2 linked regions of the Drosophila melanogaster genome follow. Each later gene encodes a partner of the first gene's protein in a complex. Each region holds a gene or a part of one and is shown on either strand. Other genes may lie near its edges. A codon is read from its position in the direction of its gene.

Region 1 (5,648 bases):
CTGCTGCTGCTGCTGCTGCTTCCTGTTGCAGCTGCTGGTGGGGCAGCGGTGGGTGGGGGTCGCCTAGTGGTGGCACAGCATCCAGCAGTGAGCTTTTCTCCAGGACATCCGCCATATTGAAAGTCGAACGAGTGTGTGTGTGGTGTGTCTGTATTTGTTGCACTCACGGGAAAACTCGAAAAGGACTACAGATCTGTCGGTATTTTTCCTGTGTGTGTGTGTGTGTATCTTTGGGCTAGTCCTTTTCACTTGGAATAATATATTTTGGGTTCACTTTCGATTCGAGAAATGCTCGCGGAAATATATTTTGAAACGGCGTAAATGACAATATTTATATTTTGACTTGGCGCACTCACGCTCACTTACTTCACTGGCACTCTGCTAATTTATTTGGATTTTTGCTGGTGCAAATTTTTAAAAAAAGCGAGACAGCTCCCGCTCGGTCGGCTTGTCGGTTTGTTATCTCGATTTCAACTGATTCGTAGTCGTCGTATTTAACCGAAACTTTTCTGACACTTTTTTGATTCGACGTCGACGCAAAAGCTCAGCGGAATCTCAACCCCCAAGCTATTTTTGTGATTAGTTTATAATTGTTATTGTTGACTAGACGAGGAAGGTAGATACCAGGATGCGGGTATTTCCACCCCTTCTTACACTTACTATTTTAATATAATAAATAAATAATAATTACGAAAGTAGAGACAAAAACCATATTAACCAAGCTCTAAGCTTAACAAACATTTCGAAAGCTCTCTCTCGTTGAGAAAAAGCGAAAACGACATTTTAGTACACGGTATTTTAGTCTTTCGCCTGCTTCTCGTTGGTGGTTTGTGTCTCAGCTGAAGTATTGCAGTCTGCGGCGAAAATATCTAGATATTTCTTTGTGGATTCAGTATAAGATTTTTAAACTTTCTCTATTACTTTTAGTTTATTAAACAAGTCAGCCACATCTTGTATTAATATTGGCTGCCTATATAGCATAATCCCAAATTTTCCACCACCCTGATCTTCTTTTATATTGATTGTGCAACACCTCATCGGCCGCACAATTATTCTTAGTGTTTATTTAAATACATTTGACTTATTTCACTTTCACACATTCACTTGGTAAATTGAGAACGCAAAAAGGCCACAATTTACACATTTGGCGTTTTGCTAACTGCCCTTTTTGGACGCTTTCGGATGTTGAATTTGCCTAAACATTATATTATTTGCTATTTGGTTTATTCACGTCTCATATAAAATAATCATTAACTATTGCTTTGCTTTTGGCTGAACCAACAAAATAATTCATAACAAAATAATGTGCACAAAACTTTGAATATTTTTCAGTTTTTTTGTTTTCGTTATTTTATAATTTAAATTTTTTTATTTTTTAAAAAATAATATTATCTTGAAGTTCAATTTTGCAGTTGTAGTAGCAGAAGTAATTTTTAATTAAAATAATATACGAGAGAGATAGAGAGAGTTAGCGATGAATATAACATCTATGGAGAATGGTTGTCGCTAAAAGTTTGTTGGTGTTGTTGTTGTTGTTGTTGTTGTTTGTTGGTTGTTGTTGAAGCTGTTGTTTTCAACTATTTTAGCTGATCTGGTCTGTCACACATTCTGGCGAGGAATGCTGTGGAGTAGACGAAGAAAAGGGCCATATTAGCAAGGTATTCCCCAAATTTGTTGGACAAGTAGACATCCAGAGATCGGCGAAGTGGCCATGGGCTCCATCCCTACTTACTGTTTAGTCGAAGACGACAGGATCGCTCATCAGGCGCTGGACGAACTCTGTTTTCATTCAATTTCAAGTGGATCGGCGACAAACGGCGGGTAAACAAGACGCAATCACCGTGCAGAGACCATACGTTTGACATTCGGGAGTTGGTCGGTTTTTTTTTTTTTTTGCGAGTGTAGTGTTGGAGGAATGGACACGCAAACATGGATACACGCATACACATATTTTTAGGTTTGTTGGTGTTTTTCAGGTCGAGTTGGTGGTACAAAGTGCACAGTGCAGAATGGTGGGGATTTTTTTGGTTTGTGCGCAGACAAAGAGTGACATGTGGAATAGACAAACGGCGTTTACAAATCGTATATGCACAAAAAACATTAGATGAGTATCGTCCATTGAACGAATACTTACGAGAGTAGGGGATAAATCCTTCATCATCCTCGGGATCCATGCAGTCAGCGAACAGGGTCTCCACCTGCTCGTCATCCAAGCTCTCACCTGTAATGCACACAATGATTTAGAGGGATATCCCAGGATATATGCATGTTGATTACTCACCAAGCGCCAGCAGGGCGTGCTGCAGCTCAGCCAGCAGCATGGTGCCGTTCTCCTCCTTGTCGTAGAGCTTCAAGCACTCAATGAAGTCCTCGTAGCAGCCCTGCTCCTTCTCCTTCTTGACCTGTGAGTAGATGGGCAGGAACTCATCCAGCTTGATCTTCTTCTCGTTGCGCTTCTTGGTGCCGCCCAATTTCTCGATCAGCGCCAAGGTGGGGTTCAAGTTCAGAGCGCGGAGGGCATCACCTAGGTCGACGGCATCAATGCCCTCACCGGGGGAGCCCATGACTTCGAAAACGAATTCGACATCTGCGCAAAAGGAACTCGATTAGCATTTACATCTTCATGTTCATGTTAGTCGATCAAACGTAAATCCCATCAAATTTTTGTTTTTATTCGTTTCATTTTATTATGCTGCCTCATTAATTGTTTTTAAAAATACTTTAGCAGAGGTGGGTGTTGACCACCCTTTTTATTTTCGAAAACGGGGTCGATGTGGTAACCCTGAAATTTCTGGTACGCACATTTTTGGTCATCATGAAAATCTTGACATGGCTGCTGGGCATTGCCTACTTAGTGTGTGAGTGTATGCGTGAGTGCGGATCTGGGAGAGTTGCCAGCCCCGAGAACACACTACGTATACGTAATCCGACACCCGAACCGAACGCCTTCGCCCTCGTCTGCGCTATATACACAGTATATAGGCGTATATACACACACAAAGTCGCATAGTTTGCTCATCTCTTTCGCTGTGCGTTTGATCGAAAATAAATCTAAAGAAATAACTTGGCCAAAATTAGATCTCTAAACGAGAAGCATTTCGGCTCGAAGACGAGGATCGCGCGTTCGGGTTCGCGACATATACACACACGATTTTCATTGTTTTCCGCGGCTTTTCTATAACGCAAATCAAACTTAACTTTGCACTAGATTTTCTCTACCGGAATTGTGTTGGCAACCTTTATCCGTTCTGGTTTTGGATGGTCGATCGATGAAAATAGCTCAGGCGATGCATATAGACGACAGCATTCCTTAATGAAAATTTTCCGCATAGTGTTATATATATAGGCATGCGTATATGTATGCGATATATTCCAAGTGATTACGAAATATGTTCACCGACTTTTGTGTACTTTTTGTTGTGTATCTCACACGCGCACATTATGTAATCTGTATTTTTATGGATATTATAATACTTGTTTTTAGTCCTTTCTGCTGGGTTTTCCGTTACCTCGTTCATTTAATATGTTGGTTTAACTTTGATGGATTTCGTTTGAGGTTAAAGATAATCCTTTTCGTGCGGGGTTTTAACTTACTTTCAACTTCACGCTTTGGAACATCAGCCTGTCAACGGAATCGAAAAAGATTTGAGAGTTTGGCATTAGTTCGAGTGTGGAAAATCTTCAGTTTTCAGCTGCTGCATATATTTATGTACATCTATATCACTGGATATTGGTGGAAGATGTGTGAAGACTCCTTGGCCGACTGGGCACTCACCATTTTGTCTGTTTGATGCGAAAATCAACTGTATCGCGGATGAGCTCGGTCTCGACTGAACGTTATTCGTCAGTGGCAGTACGGCAAGGTAATTCTGAGGTGAAAGCCAACCAGCCGATCGCCGAGCACTCAGACACAGATACAGATACATTTACAGCTATAGCTTCGAAAACGAATTCAAAAACGAATACGAATACGAATGGATGACGAAACGCTCGCTCTTTTCCTGCGCAAGGCTATACACACACCAAAATATATGCTGTAGTATGTGCGATGGCAAGAATTTACTTTCATCTTGGGGGAACTTTTTCGAATGCCACTCTCTTTTGGGATCCCATGGATCCCAACGACCACCAGATATTGGGAGGCTCTCCTATGGAGCCAGAGCCATTTGTTGTCCGCTCTCTAGCCGGGCTATTTTTAAGCATTTTGTTTTTTTTCGGCTATTCTGTGAATATTTCTTTTTATTTCGTTCGTGAAGGCAAAATAATAATCGCTTGTGGCATTCCCAGCCGGATAGTGTTGAATATCATTCGATGTTACAGATGATTTTGCAGATAATATAATATTTTCTCATTCAGGCGGGAGGAGAATGGGTTTGAGAATTGATTGTTTAGCGCTGCGCAATAGATTGAGCTTCCATGCTGGGGTTTTACGGGGTATGTTTAGATGTTTAGATGGGGCTATGGGGCTATGTACTATAAATGTGGCCTATACATGTATATATTTATACACTCATCGACCCTGATCGTCTTTTTGGCAAACGTACGTATTTCTCAGGTCTTGCCTGTTATCATTCGAAATGTTTTGTCAGCCGGTCGTATGTGGGGGTGTTAAATGGCCGATTTCTTGTTTGTCCGCTGCCAGAACACCTGAACACCAGCCTTTTTCAATATTTATACACTATACATGCTCCAAAAGCATACTATTCCTCGTTGGCATCTCATCTACATAGAAGGCGCATTACTGGCCCCTCAGGCGCCTTCTTGTGCCTTGTGTGTGCCGCCTGTACAACATTTTAATGCGTGCTATTTATAAAAACTATGACACAGATACATGAAGCGTATTCAGAGCAAAAATGTACAGCAACAACTAAATGCTCGAATTGTTTGCATAGGCAAATGGTGGGTGGTAGGTATATAATGACCGATCAAGCCTGAAGGGTAAGCGAGGTGCTTAAAAGGCGGCAAATCTGGCAAGGAAGTGGCAATTAAGCCAAGCAGGCCATTGGCTTTGCCGGCACATCCATTTCCATGCACCCATGTCCTTGACTTTCTATGTAAATGTAGATGTACACACGTCCATGTTCGTGCCATCGGACAGGTCCTTCTTTGACCCAGTTTTGAGCCCAGCTGTGTGCCCAACTTCCGGCTGATGCTCATCAGACCCACTCTCTGGGCTGTCCTGTCTCGTCCTATCTCTCAATCCATTGAGTCCTCGGCTCGGCTTTTGGCCGCGCAGCCTCCCTGGCCTTGTTATTGTTTACTCCTTGGGGCACCACCTGTTGTCAAGCGGGTAACTGGTGCATGAGTATTTAGGCCGATTTGGTCCTTGATTGAACATCTGCTATCAGCAGCCGATTGTTGCCACGAATCTGCGCAGATTAATGTGCGCAAGTCATTGATAAATAGCCCCTTGAGACTGAAATTGTGTGCTTGTATTTATAGAACTCATTTCTGTAAACAACATTTACACTAAGGGCTTTTTGTGCTGGTAATCAAGTTATTTAAAATATATCTCAAATGCTTATCTTAAAATAAGATACAGAAAGAACTTGGCAAGAACTTAGCAAGGATAAAGCGTGCTTAATCAGCTAGAAGATTAATTAATGAACAAAGGCTATGGATTTAATTTCCACTCAAGTCCGAAAGGG
Region 2 (5,288 bases), on another chromosome or scaffold:
CTTTCATTGTGCGTTGAGAACCAATTCTTGTGGCTTTGATTGTGTGGTGTGTGTGCTGTGTGTAGAACCGTTTTCTTTCCAGTTGTGCGGTTCATCCGACTGGACGGCCAAGATTCGTTTTAATACAAGCTGGATTAGTGCATACGTCACAGGAAATGAGGAATTAGCTGGGGTTATGTTTTTTTTTTCATAGGGCTTAATAAAATGAGTTTCATAAGTCCGAAAAAGGAGCGAATGACTAAGGTTAGCAGTCTACTCAATTGCGTTAAATACTTCAAAGCTTCGGAGACTAGTTGCAGCTCTAATCGAATTTTGAAAAATTTTGGGATGTTTTTCTTTTTTTCATAAGTGTGAGTGATTGGCGGTAGATAAGCGGTTGGGTAAGAACATAGAACGCATACTTGTGTGCCACCCTTGATCGGCAATTACTTACGTAGATCAGCTTGTTGTAGTATCTCTGTCTCAAGTTATGGAGCACAGAGGCATCGTTAAGGTATGTCAAGTTGGACATATCCTCGGCTTTTTCGTATTTCGGGGGGTTCACTTGCTGGAGCAGATCTTTCTTTAAGTCTCGTGTCTGTTTATCATTTTCGTTCGGTTTGTCGGATTCAGTTCGATTGGTTATGTTTAGTTTTTGTACAACATTTGTTGGTTAGACGTTGGGTTAGCAGTTCGTTTTTGAGATTGAGAGAGAGAGAGAAGAGATACCCATACATTAGTGAGTTTCTGGCAGTACAACACTTACGTAGATGAGCTTAGCATAGTAACGCTGACGCAGATTGTGCAAAACGCAAGGAGTGTTAAGCACGGTCATGTCGGCCATATCTTCAATTTTTTCGAATTTTGGTGGATTGACTTTTTCCACCTTCTCGGATTTGATATCTCGTACCTAATCGTATATGTAGGCGAAATCTATAGTTTCATTCTAATTTTGTGGCTACATTATAAGCTATTGAAGTGTATGAGGTCATGACAAAGTCCCAGTCTTATGCTATCCATTGAAAAACCCTTCTTGTAGTAGTAGTAGTAGTACCAAGAAGATTTTCCCATTGGGTAACAATTGACTAACACTTTAGGTCGACCATAAGACTCTTCAATAGCTTTTTTTTTTTTTTTTTTATGCTGAAGCCTCGTGTAGACGATGACTTTACCTCTCCACCCTGCAGACCAACGGAGACGATATCGCCCTTGGTGGCCTTGATCTCACCAAGGAGATAACCCTCCTTCTCGTCGGGGATCCAGCAAGACTTCTTCGAGTCATAGGGTTTCGATTGATCGATACGCCTTTGCTCCAAAGACACGAACAGGTATGGGGTGGGATCCTCATCCTCCTGATTTGCGACTGGCTTCGGCATCTTGCTTAAATTTCGTTTAGAAACTTAAAAACTCGAAAAATAATATTGGGACTTTTCAAAATTTCTTTGTTAATCGCGTCGTGAGCCCAAAACTTCCCTGTAAATATACAAAAGAAAAATAATATTTATTATATGGTTCTCAGAAAAGCATACTATTTTTGGAATTTTGTTTCGAAGTCTGATTCTTTTATGGATTTTATGCTTTTGACCCATTTTGACAGCAGCAGCAATAGCGGACACTATAACAGTTCTACGCGTGTGTGCGTGGATAGGATTTCGAAATTTAATTTCGATTTCCAAATATGAACATTTTTCCCGTTTCGCGCTTTCGAAATTCCCGTTACCGTAACCGGATATTTATTTATGTGTGGCTTTGATTTTATCTCACACCTCAAAGTTAATTAGGCCTGGTCGGTGCTTGTGTTGTTGTTTTTGTTATAAACAGACAACAAGTGAATTGTGTGGGTTGTCGCCTAAATATAGATCACGGATCCGATACGAATATGTATATGTATACCACTTATATATATATATATCAGAATGCTTTGCATATATACGGATTTTCGGGGCGTTGGTATTTGTTACGTAACGCCAATTTTCATTTAGATATTTGTGTACATTTCTCCAGGTTTCTTTGTGAAAAAATCTACAGACTATTGATACGCCAAAACAATGCTTATTATTACAAATGTAGAGAGGTTAAACTGTCACCACAACTCACTCAACTGGTAACTACTACCGTTTGGAACGCGATTTCGATATTTTGAACAGGTATCTCGATATGGTGGCGTGTTCTCATACAAGCAATTCACGAGATCGCAATGATTCCTTTCAGTAAACTTCGAAGGCGGAACGATTTTCGACAATCCACACTAAATCGACAATCGAAAATTCGATTCGAATTGACGCGAACTTTTAACGAATGCGTTATTTTTAAAATTCTCGAAATTATTTCGAAACTAAAGTCACATACATATTCGTCTATATGTAATTCGTAATTTCGAGAAGCTTTTTGGCTCATGCTACCACATGGCACACATAGACATAATGTATAAGTATTGGCGATCTCTTTCTAATGTCTTTGGTTATTTTTAAAACATATTCGAAATTATTTCGCCCATGTATATGAGCCGACAACGAATTCGAGTATTCTAAATCTATTTTCTATAGTATGCATACGCATATGTCTCGGCCACACAGGTATTTGTGTATGAAATCATTTCGCCAGTAATTCGAAATGGCTATTACAGCATTTCGAACTCACATCGAAACACGAATTTTTCATTTGATGAAGTAACAGCTGGCTGTCTCTTTCTGACATTTAAATGATCTATTTGCTTTAGAATTTTTTAAGTAGTCGAAATTTAGAACGATGAAAGTCTTTTATTCCAAAATTCTTGGGCGAGAAAGGATAAACTAGTTTTTTGTGAGAGTCCTAAAAGTAAGAAAGAAGTTTCCTTATATCCTTGTTACTTCACTTTCAGATTTTTTCGCTGATATGATCGAAAGTCAAAGATTTGTTACACAAGAAGTTGAAGATAGTTGCATACTTCTCAGAAAACAAATTAACGCCTATAGGTTATGTTAAGTAACTGATGTACTTCCTAAGAAAAGATTGTTATTTGTAATCCAATTCGATACGATAATCCGAGGTATTCCGGTTCACTGTTCTGATTGTCACAGAGTTTTAATAGATCCGTTTTCGCTCGGATCGTAGTTAAAGCACCACACACACACTTTTTTAAATTTCTCGATTTTGTTGCATATATAAATATATATAGGTAGTAATAATTATTTTAGTTTTATGCTTTTTGACCAAAAGGTCAAATTGTTGCTGCTGCCGCTGATGCTGCTGCTACCGCTACTGCTGCTGGGTGGTAATATCCAAAAATCAGAGATCGCACATCAAAGGTGTTGCACTTACGCGCTCGAAAGCCGTTCTGAACCGTGCAACCGGTAAACTTGCCTTTTATACGGGGCAACTTGATACCCATGGATCCCGTAAGACCCCGAAAGCTTTTCGATTCGACGATCGGTGTGCGTGGCGCTGTTTCTGTTTCGGTTTTTCTTGCTCCCTTTTTCGGTCTAGCACTTGGCTGCTCTGATTCCTATTCCTCTTCTCTAGCAAGTGGGCATTTCTATGGGGGATTGCGGGATGGTGGATATGGTATATGTGTGAGCATATGATGCAATCAGGATCGTTGCGGAATCGAGAGCGGAAAGCTCCTTCTCCGACGATTGCCATTGCGTAGGCTCTCTCGCAATTCTCCCATTAGTCAAATAGTAAAATTCATTTCAATGACAACTTTTCCGCCGTGAGGCAATTCTTCTCCGCCGGAATCCCTCGCTCTTTCCAAGGGGAGCTTTCTTTTTACTTATTTCACATATCATTTCTAGACGCACACATGTGTGTATGGCATGGCATGGTGGGATCTTTATTTGTTTTTCTCGGTGATCATTTTTCGCTTTTTGTTCTGGTTTTGGTTTTTGGTCACCTCAATGCCAATCCGATCTGGCACCAATGTGGGTGGAATACAGGGGGAATGCTTGCGATCAGGCGGCGCTATGTGGTTTTCCTCCTAATCTGCGATCACTTTACGATCAGTGGCTAAACAGCTGTTCGAGAAGACCGATCGTATGCTATCAATGGCTACAAACATTCGTTTGGTCATCGTTCAGTTGTAGAACGAAAAAACCCGATCCTTTGAGTTAATGATTGATGATCTATCTAGCCTAAGGATCGGCCATAGCAAGCACATGTCCGCCAAAAGTAATGATGTGAACTTCAAAATAACATAGATGGGCTAGAACATGCAAGCAATTGCAATGCACGCAAAAAAAACGAAATAAAACACATAGTTGAAGAGATACTTTAGATATAGATAGATAGACAGAGAAATGCCACATCAAATCAATGTAGTCGGCGTCCTTCAGAGCAATGCGATGCGAAAATCTTTAGGTTTCAATGCTAAAATCCAATACAAATACGATTGCAAATACGAGTGCATTATGAAATTCGTGTTGTAGCGATTTGTCGAGAATTTATCAAATCTATAATGCTGACAAAGAGAATTATGATAAATGCCAACAGAATTGAAATAGTCTCCCCTCTTACAACGATGTCAAATTCCGACACAGAAATTATTCATAATTTTAAGCAAAATTACAAAATTTCATGTGCAACATTTTTGGCAAAGAATTATATGATAAATGTATATACACCCACTGCAAGGTATTTTCGACAAATACTTTTCGTAATGAGTTGGTCCGTCTTGAATATTCAATATTTAACAATGATTATTGTGTAGCGGAAAAAGAATACGCAAAAAAACAACTCATGAATTCGGACAAAAACAACTTTCAAACATTTTTTGAGGAATATTTATAGTTTGAAAAAGATTTCAGTTCTCATTCAAGTGTGAGTGTTTTTTTCCTTTATTTTCGGTGCAGGGTTTGCTGCTCTCTAGTCTTTTCTCACATATAAAATTATAATACTTTTTGCTAAGTTTCTGAAACAAAATCTGTGACATTGTCGAGCAGAATTGTGGGCAAAAAGACAAAAACATAAATTGAGCATTTAAAACAAATTCCAAGAACAACAAACAACAATTTAGCACCTGACAATAAATTATTTTGGGGTTATTTGTTGTACTTGTAAAGCCAATGAGTTGGTATAAGTTAATATTTAACATTTAATAATTAATAAAAAAAACCTTTAGTTACGATACATTTTGGTCTTCTTTATTATTCTAGATGGTTCTTCCCTTGCTCCCTTAAGATATTCGATGCGAAAAAAGCGAATCCAATATTCTGCTCCCAATTTTTTGTTCGAAAAGCACAAAAACATTTTCGTTTTGAGTCATTGACGCAAAGCAATTTTTGCATTTTAGTGTCAAGATGCTGTTTCTTCTTCTTGTGTATTTTGGCACTGGT

The links.
Region 2: the proteins of Mlc1 (region 1) and Mhc are in contact, whole or in part, in a crystal structure (PDB 5W1A), measured with the Drosophila melanogaster proteins. Residues at the interface, in NP_001287569.1 of Drosophila melanogaster: Phe14 (codon at 2,579), Val15 (codon at 2,576), Val18 (codon at 2,567), Met19 (codon at 2,564), Asp33 (codon at 2,522), Arg36 (codon at 2,513), Ala37 (codon at 2,510), Asn39 (codon at 2,504), Leu40 (codon at 2,501), Asn41 (codon at 2,498), Pro42 (codon at 2,495), Thr43 (codon at 2,492), Leu44 (codon at 2,489), Glu78 (codon at 2,387), Gln79 (codon at 2,384), Gly80 (codon at 2,381), Cys81 (codon at 2,378), Asp84 (codon at 2,369), Phe85 (codon at 2,366), Glu87 (codon at 2,360), Cys88 (codon at 2,357), Leu89 (codon at 2,354), Lys90 (codon at 2,351), Leu91 (codon at 2,348), Tyr92 (codon at 2,345), Asp93 (codon at 2,342), Lys94 (codon at 2,339), Glu96 (codon at 2,333), Ala103 (codon at 2,312), Glu104 (codon at 2,309); in NP_723999.1 of Drosophila melanogaster: Arg25, Ile26, Ser29, Asp718, Lys720, Met721, Arg722, Gln724, Ile725, Pro728, Arg776, Leu780, Gly781, Ile783, Met784, Ser785, Trp786, Met787, Gln788, Ala789, Trp790, Ala791, Arg792, Gly793, Tyr794, Leu795, Ser796, Arg797, Lys798, Phe800.

What each region holds. Positions count from the first base shown.
Region 1 is NT_033777.3:27,656,335-27,661,982, forward strand, and holds Mlc1 (myosin alkali light chain 1), read right to left. Parts: upstream 3,844-5,648; 5' UTR 3,779-3,843; coding exon 3,776-3,778; intron 3,623-3,775; coding exon 3,595-3,622; intron 2,588-3,594; coding exon 2,282-2,587; intron 2,222-2,281; coding exon 2,135-2,221; intron 1,780-2,134; coding exon 1,736-1,779; 3' UTR 1,733-1,735; intron 1,622-1,732; coding exon of another isoform or gene 1,578-1,621; 3' UTR 744-1,577; downstream 1-743.
Region 2 is NT_033779.5:16,764,748-16,770,035, reverse strand, and holds the start of Mhc (myosin heavy chain), read right to left. Parts: upstream 3,303-5,288; 5' UTR 3,280-3,302; intron 3,111-3,279; exon of another isoform or gene 2,926-3,110; intron 2,260-2,925; exon of another isoform or gene 2,077-2,259; intron 1,453-2,076; 5' UTR 1,356-1,452; coding exon 1,152-1,355; intron 890-1,151; coding exon of another isoform or gene 746-889; intron 578-745; coding exon 434-577; intron 1-433. UniProt on the Drosophila melanogaster protein: Muscle contraction.